Cricetulus griseus: one gene and its partners. The protein of the gene in region 2 interacts with the protein of the main gene of each other region in a biochemical or structural test. Links are inferred from orthologs where the notes say so. Each region holds a gene or a part of one and is shown on either strand. Other genes may lie near its edges.

Evidence for each region.
Region 1: the proteins of Rab5a (region 2) and Chml form a complex in vitro, tested with the Homo sapiens proteins (2 studies listed by BioGRID). The link is inferred for Cricetulus griseus from reciprocal best matches to the Homo sapiens genes RAB5A and CHML.
Region 3: the proteins of Rab5a (region 2) and Appl1 form a complex in vitro, tested with the Homo sapiens proteins (2 studies listed by BioGRID and IntAct, with this or other methods). The link is inferred for Cricetulus griseus from reciprocal best matches to the Homo sapiens genes RAB5A and APPL1.

The regions. Positions count from the first base shown.
Region 1 is NC_048598.1:18,011,530-18,015,880, reverse strand, and holds the start of Chml (rab proteins geranylgeranyltransferase component A 2), read right to left. Parts: upstream 2,854-4,351; 5' UTR 2,605-2,853; coding exon 751-2,604; 3' UTR 1-750. UniProt on the Homo sapiens protein: Substrate-binding subunit (component A) of the Rab geranylgeranyltransferase (GGTase) complex. Binds unprenylated Rab proteins and presents the substrate peptide to the catalytic component B.
Region 2 is NW_023276806.1:249,792,164-249,795,791, forward strand, and holds part of Rab5a (ras-related protein Rab-5A), read right to left. Parts: intron 2,316-3,628; exon of another isoform or gene 2,292-2,315; intron 1,787-2,291; 5' UTR 1,695-1,786; coding exon 1,532-1,694; intron 1-1,531. UniProt on the Homo sapiens protein: The small GTPases Rab are key regulators of intracellular membrane trafficking, from the formation of transport vesicles to their fusion with membranes.
Region 3 is NW_023276807.1:192,715,291-192,719,701, reverse strand, and holds the start of Appl1 (DCC-interacting protein 13-alpha), read right to left. Parts: upstream 2,854-4,411; coding exon 2,800-2,853; intron 1-2,799. UniProt on the Homo sapiens protein: Multifunctional adapter protein that binds to various membrane receptors, nuclear factors and signaling proteins to regulate many processes, such as cell proliferation, immune response, endosomal trafficking and cell metabolism.

The sequences.
Region 1 (4,351 bases), on a different chromosome or scaffold from region 2:
AAGCAACCATACCCAGATTGCAATACATCTCGTAAATAAGAGGTTCTTCAAACGACTAAGGGGCACTTTTTTTTGTAAAGTAGCAGGCTAGCGTAGTCTCACTGCCTCCTCAGTGACAAAGGTTAAAGCAGGTGAAATCACATGTAAATAGCAGCCCCAAGCCACAGGCTCATGCATGGCCAAGCTTCTAACACTTGCTTTTTTACCATACTTGTATTAGCTGCTACTCCTACTACCAGCCCTGTGTGTTTACATAATATACAAAAAACTCACTCCGTTTATGATTATGTGTTCCTCTGTGCACCCGAGGTGGTAGCAACAGTAGTAGCACTCTGTGGATATTAATTTTTGTGTAGATAATGATAAAACCTGAACACAGAACACAGAAGACGATGCTACCTTAAGTTAAGCAATGTCGCTAATGTGAAACCCAAAAGTAAAATAAAGCTAATGACATTCAGAGATTCTGGATTCCTGTAGCCAATTCTGAAAAAGGTGAGTCACCACAAACCAGATGCTGACAGATTAGCAGAGCTATTAGGGTACCCAGTGTCTTGGTGTTGAAGACATGTGAACAGCGCTTATCACAAATGGCAGCTGTCTTTCAGTGACAATATTGTGAGACCAGGATGAAAATACTTCCAGTCAGTTTTAATTTCGAAGGTGTTCTGTGCTTTACAAGTCCTTGCTGTGTCCTTGGGGTGTCTAGCTGGATGGTAAGTGTGTTACTGACTCCAGGATGTCTGCTTGCTAACCCTCACCTTCAAAGATAATGTCTTCTGGATTTGGTGGAGGAGGGCAGAACTCTTCACTGGGAAAGATCTCCTGGAACAGTGTTTCCGCTTGCTTAACGGCATGCTCATTCCCCAGTCCACAGTCAGGCCCAGAGCAGATGTACACATTGGAAGGTAAACCATGGTATGAGCTTCGGCTCACTCCTGAGGAATCTCTCATATTAAAATAAAGGGCCCACAAGAGTCTTGGTTTTCTGAGTTCTTCCTCATCTGTTTCTGCTTCTGCAAAAGGAATGAATAACTGCTTAACTACTGGTTCCAAGTCTTCTCGGGCTGTTTTTGAAGAAACACAGGTCAGGTGGACCAGATAGCTGTCCTTCATGCACGTCATGGTTGATGAGCATAACTCCATGACCCGAATTGAGCTGCTTCCAGGCTCTAGTGGAGGCACTACCAGAATGGAAATTTGATGGTCTGAATCTGTCTTTAGGATGGACTGATCTGTGATAAGCACAGCCCTCGAGATCTGCTTATATTGCACATTTGAACAGGTTTCCTTAGAAAGGTAACTGTCCTCCACAATAAAGTAGTTGGCACTTATTCTCTGACCAAAGTGGTCAATGACCCCTTTACATCTTCCAGAGTCTTTATCAACTACAAGGCATTGGACTTTATGGCGAAGACAATAGATTCCACCAAACACTGCACACATCCTGCAGAAACACTGGGGGATTTCTCCTTGGCCATATAAAGGAAATATAAAGGGAGTGTTGCCAAACCGTCCAAGACACTGAAGAAAGGTTTTTGTTGCTTTAAGACCATCTAACGTAGTGCAGGATGGTTCTGATGTCATTGCAATTGAGTGTAGTATGAAATGTTGGAGGTTGGGCGTTAACTTTTTAGTTTTTAGGTACTCAGAAAATGGGCATTGTTTGAAGTCTTGGTATTCATCAGAATGCTGTTCATAGTCTAAACAGAATGTGAGGAATTTCATTAGCATTCTCTTCTCAACCACGGTGAGCGCTTTACTACTAAAGACATCTGCTCTGCAGCAAGGCACCTGCTCTACCTTCCCGTCCCGAAACGCAAGGATCCTAGTGACATTCTTAAATTCTGCGTAACGACTAACGTTTGATTTGATGAGAAGATCAATCAATGATCCTTGAGAATACAGCAGCTTCGATACCAAGTCAATATTAAATCTCCGGCTCTCCTTAATCATTTGAGGGTAAGTAATCCTGTTTCTCTTTGGTTGTTTGCTGTTGTCTTCTATATCAGGTTTGTCTTCATCTTTATCTCCATCTGAAACTGTCTGGATGCCACCATCCTTTTCTTGATCCAGTGAGTTCTCTGCATCAGTTAAGGATGGTGACGGCTCCGTATCACTTCTCTCTGTGTGTCTAGAAGGTGCTTCGTGGCTTGAAAAGTATACTGTGTACCCTTCTTTGGGCAAACCTGCAGAATCCAGAGAGTCAGCCAGGGTAGCAGATGCCTTTGGGGAAGGACTTCTCTGCAGAGCATTGTTCTCTTGAGTGCTGTCCCCATCATCTTGACTGGCGTAACAGAAGACTTCTGTGTTCTCAATAGTCTCATCTTTCTTGCAAAGAGCGATGGCGTCTTCCGTTTCATGGATCAGGTCTTGCCACGAGGCAGTCATGTCTTCCTCGCTGTCATGGTTCTGTTCATAGTCCTTCAGCCAGGACAGCAAGCCTGTAAAGCTGAAACTTGCCCAATTCCCTCCATAGTAACTTCTGGAGTCAACATGCAGAACTCGCTGTCCACTTCTGGAACACGCAGCTGCCAGGATGGACTCAGGCAAACCTGTCCCTATAATAACTACATCAAACTCTGTGGGAAGCTTGTCTGCCATCCTAGGAGCTGAAACTTCAGGTCACAGCTGATGAAAGAACTCTGTATGGAACTAGGTCGAGGGCTCCTCTGAGGTATTTATGCTGTAATAAAATCTCTACTTGGGATCTTCAATCAGGAACACTGAGTTTGCAAATCCTAAGCTGTTTAACGCTTAACAATTTTTAAACATTAAAAAAAAAGTCAGTAGCATGGAAAACACGATAATGCATGTAATCGTATGTGAGAATACTCAAATGGATGCGTCCTTTTCATTTCTGCATTTCACCTTAGCGGGAAATGTTACCATGCATCACATGTGCATTTGTGACTGGAACTCTCCTCTGAAAGAAGAAAATTCAAGAAAAGAACACAATGATAAATAATATAAAAGCAATTTCATGCAACAGCAGTTTCAATCCACCGGAGTCTGACTTGTTAACGTGGCTACAAACCTCTACCCAAAGAAGTCATTAAATGCTTTCCCATAGGTCTTCTTAGTTCTTGAAAATGAACAAAAGATATTTAATATATTCTCTCCCCACAGCCCAGCAATACTGTCATAAGGCATGGACACAATATCCCACAAAAAATAAAAAAATTATACAATTATTTGATTGTTAATTATGTATCTGGACAATACTGTGAGCTTAGACTAAAAGAGATATGTGGCTTTACTGTGTTTATGCAAACATACTATGCTGAGTGAGCATGTCAACATAATGGCAGATATTTCTGTGGTCAGGAACATTTGCGGGTAACCCCAGACAGCTGCATAGGAGATTTTACATCCTGAACTACCCTAAGGATCTTGCAGGAGATACATGAGACATCCAGACATTACAAGAGAATTAATTCAATAACTGGCATTTAATGTATGTAGGTATGTAAAAGAACAGGCCTGAGGGGAAACAGTTTTGTAACATTTTCTGTGTCAAAGTACATGTGTAAGTTAAAGTTCTTGGTTTCCTGTATTAAACCATTTCAATATAAATAACATCTATTCATAACACCTAAGTGAGGAGACATTTACATTTTGCCAGACTGTCTCTGCAACTACGAATCTCTCTCTAAACATGTTTTCATTTCTAAAGAAGAAATGGGAAAGGACTCTCCTGTCCCCTCCCATCACATGCTGGCTATCTCCATGTGATGCTGGGTGTGGCTGGAGGCTGTTCCCTTGGACATACTCACCTGGAAGTCGGCAGGCTGGCACACTCACACACCCCACTGCCAGCCTTTTATGGCTCACCATGCATAGCAGCAGCAAGTGTTCCTTGGCCTCTACTTTTCACTACCGTTAAATCTGCTGACCTCTAGATACAGGTACACCTAAGAGAATGATACTTCTGATATTTACGAAACAAGCCATACAAATGGAATTTACACGAACTTCACTAAGTAGCTGGTCCGACCTGTCAGTTTAACTGAAACAGTGATCCTAACAAGCCCAGCTGGTAGAAACCTCGGACCAAGATTATCAGGGATTCTACTTATTTTTAGCTTTCTTTGAGAAGCCAGGATGAGAGCCCAGAATGAAGCAATTGCTTAGTCTACTTGTGTAAATATGTAAGAATAGGTGAATTACTTACTCGCCCTTCTTCTAACAGGTTGTAAAGAGGGAGACAGAATCTATGAGGACTAAAGTGTAAACATGTATTCACTTCCTCTAGGCTGAGGCTGGCAGTGGGGCCAGTGGGGCAGGAAGCAGGTTATAAGCACTAAGTATAGGTACTTTCTAACCTAAGGATGTCAAAGCAAATGGGATA
Region 2 (3,628 bases):
GCTGAGCCAGCCTAAAGTTCTTACTTCTAGAAGAGCACTCAGTGCTCCCAACTGCTTAGCCATCTCTACAGCCCCTACTTAAACAAAAACTTAAAATCTTAAGCCAAATACTAAGCAGCTAGAACCCAAAATATTATTATATAACACATCAAACACTGCTAGAAATGACTCAGCAAAAAGCTACACTGGTATTTATTTAGCTGGACTTACTAAGCATTTATTCTCTGCCAGTTAAGACATTAAGACATCTGCTTTCATTTCAGACAAGGCACTGTTATTTCTGATTCATGTAAGAGGTAAATAAACATGTGACTTCCCTAACCTAACAAAAGTAGTATTTGACAGAGAAAGGATTTAAAAACATTGTGTTAAAAATGACTGAGGCTTAGAAACATATCTTAGTTGGAAGTGTGATTTCCTGACATGCACAAAATCTTAGTTTTCACCCCCAGCACCACAAACACAGGTTGTGGTGACCCAACTGTAATCTCAACATTCTGGAGGTAGAAGATCAGATATTCAAGGCCATCAACAAATACCTAGCTCAGTTCAGTTCCTGGCCACCATAGGCCATGTGAGACCTATCTTATGAATGTCCCCCTCCCACCCACTCCAGCCCACGCCCCCCCCCCCCAAACCTATGAAATAAAGCTTGTTAGATTTGAGACCCTGTCTCAAAAACAACAGTCGAGATATGGTGACCAGACCTGTAACCCCAGTACTTGGTGGCTAAAACAAGTAGGATCACCAAGAGTTCATGGAAAGCATAGGATACAGTGCAAGTTAATGTCTTGGAGAGAAGACTTTCCTATCTAAATTAACAAGACATCTCAATTTTGTACTTTGCTTTCTTTTTTTGAGATAGGATCTTGCTATATCATAGTCACTGGTCTGAAACGTAGTCCTCCCACTTCAGGCTCTGGACTGCTGGATTGATAAGCTTATGCCCTCCCCCCATCTAATTTGTTTTTAAAAGTTTTCCTTTAAATATTGTTTAACACCCAAAACCAAGTTGGGACTGGGCATTGGTGGTACATGCCTTTAGTCTCAGTACTCAGGAGGCAGAGGCAGGTGGATCTCCGTGAGTTCGAAGCCAGCCTGGTCTACAGATCGAATTTCAGAATATATTACAAAGCAATACAGAGAAACCCTGTCTCCAAAAACCAAAAAAACCAAAAAAACCAAAAAAAAAAAAAAAGCCAACAACAACAACAAAAACCCCAAAAAACAACAACAGAAAACCATGCTGGGCTGGTAGTGTACACCTATAATCCCCCGATAGTTAGGAGGTGGAGGCAGGACAGTAAGTTTATCGAAACTTCAGAATAGCTTAGGGTACAATAACTTGTTTACAAACAAGTTATTTTGTTTACAAACAAAATAAAACACCAAACTAAAGTATTAAAGTTCAAGGTCTGCTAAAAGCTTTTTTTCTTGCCTGCATGATCTATTTAGCTATTCAAAATCACACCTAGAACAAATATTAATGTATGACTCAGCTAAATGATTAAAAGGAAAATAAAATTCTCACCCCCAATGGTACTCTCTTGAAATTCATGAAACTGGCCCTTCACAAAGCGAAGCACAAGGCTTGATTTGCCAACAGCAGACTCTCCTAGAAGTACCAGTTTGAACTGGCAAATTTTATTTCCAGTATTTGGCCCATTGGGTCTTGTTGCTCCTCGACTAGCCATGTCCAAATTTGAAAGAAGTCCCTAATTTCAAATTCCTAAATGAACTTCCAGGATGCAAGGTATCAATTTTGTTTTCTTTCTGGAGAAAATACCTGTGGAGACACAAACAATTAAATAAACAAATCAAAACTAAGTAAATCAATATTAGTGACTTAATATTACTAAGTTTAATAATAGAGTACTGTAATGACCAAGTAGACATCGAAAGTCATTTAGCTTATTTCACCCCCTTTCAAGGGAAATAATGGCACAAGATTTAAGCCTAAAATCACCTAAAGTCAACCTTCAAAAGGAGGGTGAGAAGTCTAAAAAAAGAGAGAATGCTTGGAAGAAGAGAAAGTAACAGAATTTATATGTCATGAAAGCAGAAAGGAAACAATTTGCAGAGAGGAAGGGTATGGGAGAGGACAGGGAAGAATGACACAAATGAAAACATCACCTGTAACCTATCTTGTATGTTAACAACAACAAAAAATTAGTAAAAGGAAGAGGCAAGCTTTCACAAGGTGTGGTAACAGCAATTCCAACATTGGGAAGGCTGAAGCAAGAGCTCAAAGCCACAGACAACATACATCACCTGACTACAAAACAACTAACCTTCAACAACTTGACTTTGGGGCTGGGGATTGGTATAGTGCTTGCCCAGCAAGCAGCAGGCTCTAGGTCCAAAAACAAACCCAAATAAATAAAAATAAAGAAGACTTGACTTTGTGCCAGTTAGTATTTTAAATACTTAATATAGCCATTCAACAGTATCAAGTACTCTTACAAATCTTATAAATGAGGAAACAGGTACGAAAAGGCTCATTGAGGTCACAGAGCAACTGTGACAGAGCAATCTGGGAGGTCAATCAAGAATTCAGGTTCTGGGCACTGGAAAGATGGCGGTTTAGCCTGAGTACTGCTATTCTAGGTGACTGGAGTTCAGCTTATAGGGTGATCCACAACCATTTGTAACACCAGTCCCAGTTGTCTTGTCATCATCCTGCTCCCTGCCCACCCCCTTTAAAATGAAGAAAAGAAAATCAGGTTCTATGTCCTATCAACCCTTAGCTATGAATTCACTCTTATCTCAGGCAATTTGGTTGACTCTTGCAAGGGGCCTCAGTTACTCATTTGTTAAATTGTTGTAATATTGTCTACCTTATTTTAGAATCTTGAGTAGAAAGAGAGAATGCCTGAAATAAGACATATCCTGTTTGAAGAACTAGGTGGCATAAAAATGCCCAGAGTTTATTAACATTCTGCTTGCTTTCCTAGTACCATTAAATAGTCATTCTCTTGTTCTGTGTTTTATGTACTGTTTTACTTTTGAAGTAAATAACTTTATAAAAGTTAATAAAAAAGAAAATCAGGTTCTACTTGGGTTAATATTTTTGAAGAAAGTTATGCTTGTAAATGGAAAGTTTTTAGAACAAATCCTACAGTTTACTATCTGAAGGCCTCAATTAAATGATACTCTTTTTTTGGTTCTTTTGAGACAGGGTTTCTCTGCATTGCTTTGGAGAAGGCTGTCCTGGAAATCGTTCTGTAGACCAGGCTGGCCTCGACTCACAGAGACCCGCCTGCCTCTGCCTCCCGAGTGCTGCAACTAAAGCCGTGGGCCACCAACACCTGGCAAATTTTTCATTTAATAGTAATTTCCCAAGTTTGTGTGCCTGGCTGATAAGGATTTCTCTATCTGGTAGGATTAGGAGTGACCTATTTACTTTCAGTAATTTTGGAGGGGTAGCTTTTGGGCTAACAATGTATGCTGTTAGCATTGCATTTGGAAAAAGCTAGCCTGAGAGACAATCTCCTCTCCTCTTCAGATAGGGTGTCACAAAGAAGCATAAAATGGTGATCTTCATACTTCTTGTTCTTAAGATCTGCACCAAGACATCCAGTTTGTTTTTAATCTTGGTAGAACTGGCACCCTTTGAAACACCCTTTTC
Region 3 (4,411 bases), on a different chromosome or scaffold from region 2:
TCTCTTCTCTTCTGCCACTCCTGTCCCCAGAAGCCAGTCTCCCCTCTCCCCTTCAGTTCACTTCCCCCAATAAAAAACCCCTCCACATCTGTAGAATGGTCCCAAAAGCATTAAGCTCAGCCCTATTTACAAAAGCAGAACTTCGGAGAAACTCTAAAAGTACAACAATGGGAGCTGGATATGGTACACCTGCTATAGTCCCAACTATTCTGCAAACTGAGGCAGAGGGAACTCTCCACCTAGCAACACAAGAGTTTCCTCTCAAAACAAAACAAAAATATTTTTAAAAGACACAAGTAAGAGATCTAGTTAGGAAGAGAAAGGGAAACAATAGAGGTAATGGGCAAATACAATAAAAATGGAATGTCATAATAAAATTCATTGTTATGTTATTAATATATGCTAATAAAAACATTTTAAAATATGTCTGTTAAACCACCTAAGGAAATATGCAGGCTTGAAATTTTTAATTGAGAATATTGTGAAGACATTTTAGCTATCAAGCACCCAGGTAAAAAAGGTGGGTATGGTGGCAGGTACATGTAATCGTAGTGCTGGGAAGGCGTAGACAAGCAGATCCTTAGGGCTTGCTGCCCAGCCAGCCTAGCCTACATGATCCCATCAGAGACCTAGATCTCTAGGGTAGACACTATCTCAAAAACAACAAGCTAGGTAGAAGCTGAGAAGGAACAACACCTGAGGCTGTCCTCTAGCCTCTACATGCATGCATATACAAGAGCAGCAGCACACACATAATCACATACAATAGGGCTGGGAAGATGGCTCAGTAGATAAAGCCCTTACCCTGCAAGCTTGAGGACCTGAGTCCAGATTCCCCAGAACCCATGGAAAAACTGGGCATGTGCAGCGGTCACATGTACTCTCAACACTTAAAAGACAGAGACAGGATACCTGGGGCAAGCTGGCTTCCTAGACTACCTGAATTAACAAACCCAGGGTTCAGAGAAAGATCCTGGATGGTAAGCAATCAAGGAAGATAAATCAATTTTTGGCCTCCGTTCACATGAGCACACATACACAGACATGCAAACACATACATTACAACACATATACACACAAAAAATAAAAGCAAAATTGAGGATTTATCTTAGTGGTACAGCATTTGCCTACCAAGTGCAAGGTCCTGGGTCCAGTCTCCAGTCCCCAAAAAAATCATTGTTTTAAATTAAAAAACAGGGGCTGGAGAAATGGCTCAGTGGTTAGCACTTTTACTGCTCTTCTAGACAATCCAGGTTCAATTTCCAGCACCCACGCAGTGGCTCTCAAACATTAGTAATTCCAGTTCCAGGGGACCCAATACCCTCTACTGACAGCAAGCATACAAGTGGTACACAAACACATGCAGCCAGAACACCCATATATATAAAAACAAATTTTAAATTAAAAACAACAACAACTGAAAGTACTTGTGGTTCAAGCTTGCAACCACCAGTTAGAGACAGGAGGAGCCCATGTTTGAGGCCAGCCTGGGCTACAGAATAAGCCTGACTCAAGTTGTAAACTAATTACATGGAAAATTCAAGATAACCACTACATCGAAAGTCACCGATAGGGCACTGTGCAAACCATTCTCTTTATAGTCTTTATGGGCTATAAAAAGTACACTGGGTAAAAGAAGTTCAGACAGTGTATTGGGTCTTAATTGTAAAAAGATAAAATTATGCTGACCAATACAACCACGAAATTGCTGCAAATCATCTGAAATAAATATAACTTAAGACTTTACACTGAGAAAGTCATTAAGCAAAATTTAAACCAGCTGTGAGATAACCCAAAATGTGGGTGTCTCTTTCTCATACTGCCTGACAGGGGATATTACGTCTGAGCAACTGGCCTATGAAGACAGCTTTCAGAATGAGAGAAGAATAAATCAATTCTACAATCAGAGCCCAGTTTCAACTTGGAAAATCAAAACCGGCACAAAATCTATGGCAAAAGTGTCATCCAGCAAAGCAAGCTCTAGCCCTTTTCTTTCTTTTTTTGTGGGGGAGGGGGGCACACTCCACTATAAATGCATATAAAATATATATTTCTCAGCAAGTATTATTTAAGAAATCCACCAGCAACACTGTTCTATATTCCTTACTATATACGAAAGCTGGCAAAAGGATGAAGTTGACGCAAGTTAGAGACCACCTTTTAAAATACAACAGATTTCATTCCGTACTGAAAAGGAAATTTGTTTTATTTTCCCAGACTGTCTTCAGCTAGAGCAACCATATTAGCATCATCCCCAACGCACATTAACAGGGCTTTTATTTTGATGACTTTATTCGGGCCAAGTCTGCAACCCAAGGCTCTGCAGCCCAGGCGCCTTCCGTCACCCGCAGGGCACAGCTCAAGTGACAGCCTCGGACACCGACACACCGCGGGGAGCAAGACGCACACCGCTGCGTCCACCGGCGTTGCACACACGGCCTCGCAGCCCCTTCCGAAGAAAACTAGCCACTGCGGTCCCTGCGTGCCAGGCCTCCTCGGAAAACGCCACGACCAGGACTTATCTCGCCACATCGTACCATCCCGATAAAAACAGCACCTCCCGTGAAATGCAAGGGAGACCCGGCGCGGATTCAAGAGCCAGGCCCCATCGGAGACAGCGAAGGCCGCTCCATCCGCGGCCCAGCCGCGCGGGCCTCCAGCCCGGCCCGGGAGTGTAGGGCGCGGTCCCCGCAGGCAGCGACCCCGGGCGGCGGCGCCCACCTGGGCCGCGCGCGGGCACCTGAGGCGCCAGGCCCGCGCTAGGCCGCGCGCTGTCCTCGGCCACCGCCGGCACCTTACCTGCGGACTGTCTTCCAGCGTCTCTTCAATGGGCAGCTTGTCGATCCCCGGCATCGTGGCGAAGGCTGGGCGGCGGCAGGACACTCAGCAGCCGCCCACAGCTCGGCGCGGCGCCCCGCCTGCAGCAGCTGACCCGGCCCGCCCTCTCGCAGACGCCGCCGCCCCAGTCAGGCGCTCAGAGGCCACCGCGCGGGAAATCCCGCCCTCCCGGGCCTGTCAGTCCCGCCTCCCGCACGCCCATTGGCTCGCTGCGACGCCCGTCAACGCGCGGGGCCGACCGGGGAGATTCCTTCGCGACCGCTCGCCCTCCTCAGAGGTGCGACCCGCGCAGACCGCACTGCCTGTGAGCGCCGATCTTCCCGTACTTGAGAGTGTAAGGGGCTGTCTGTCAAGCCCGCGCGCGGTTAGCCTGAGCTTGGGGTGAAAAGCGCTCGAGGGGAACTTGAGGCAGTTTTATGTCTGCACCATATTTCGTCAGCAACCTTGGAAAAATCCCTACCCCTGGCCCCATAACCTTTCCAACCCTGCTCGAGTTTTCAGTCTTAACTCCTGCAAAAGTGGTGCTAACTCACAAACCTCTGAAATCCAAACTTGTGTCATTGGGTTTACAGTTAATTTGTAGGTAGTAGACCCCCAGATCGTTTTTTTCTGGACACACACCTGGTTATCAATACATACACTCAGTTTAAAACCCTTGCGTTAACAAATCATTAATTCTTACCTGGCCTTAAAGTTTGATGTGCTAAAATTATGGCCATCGTATCTCCTATATATCACAAAGGAAAACGTCTTTTTAAATAAAAATTAAAAAGACACAGTTGCTGGAGAACGTATCTCCGTCAGCATTTCTGTTTCACCAAAAGGTTTTGGAAGAGACTTAAATAGCTTCCCGGTTCTCCTTGACTGTAGAGTGCCGTTCACACTGTTGGAGATTGGGCATGTAAGGGCTGGAACGCTGTTCTTTTTTCTGTTTCAGCCTTGTTGCATCCTTTTCTCCAGCTTCACACTGCTTTATTTATCGGTGGCGTTAATCAAAGTATTTATCAGTATACAGAGAAAGTGGCAAAATCACTAATATTTCCCCCAAAACAATCTACCCATTAACCCCATCAGTCTCTTCCACTGTCATTCACAAAAGTACGGTCACCGAGAGAAGAGCATTAGCTTCCTTATTCTCCTGCTACTTCAACTGAACCAAATCCAAACACCGTAGAGCAAGTCCGTATATGGTCATAACGAGCATGAAGTTGCATGTTTGAAATTAAAGCTACTAGATTTCCCCCATGATCTCTTGAAAGATTAAAACTTGTTTCAGAAGTTTTATGACAGACTTGTATTATAGTGTCACAGAATTGTCTTTAGTGTTACAGTCCTTTTATGAGAACTCACCCCTTGGATTCTCTACCAACTAGTCACCCTGTTGAAGAGACCCTTGGCTTTTGAAGAAAGGTGGCTTGGAGCCAGTTCTTACTTACATTGCATGAAAGGTTTCAACTTGTATTATGGGTATCTTATTCTTACTACTTCTTTTTACTAGGCCAGCACAAGCAGGATACAACTGGCTATAGAGGAGCAAAGCTTTCAAGCAGGGTGTGGTGACACATATCTGTCA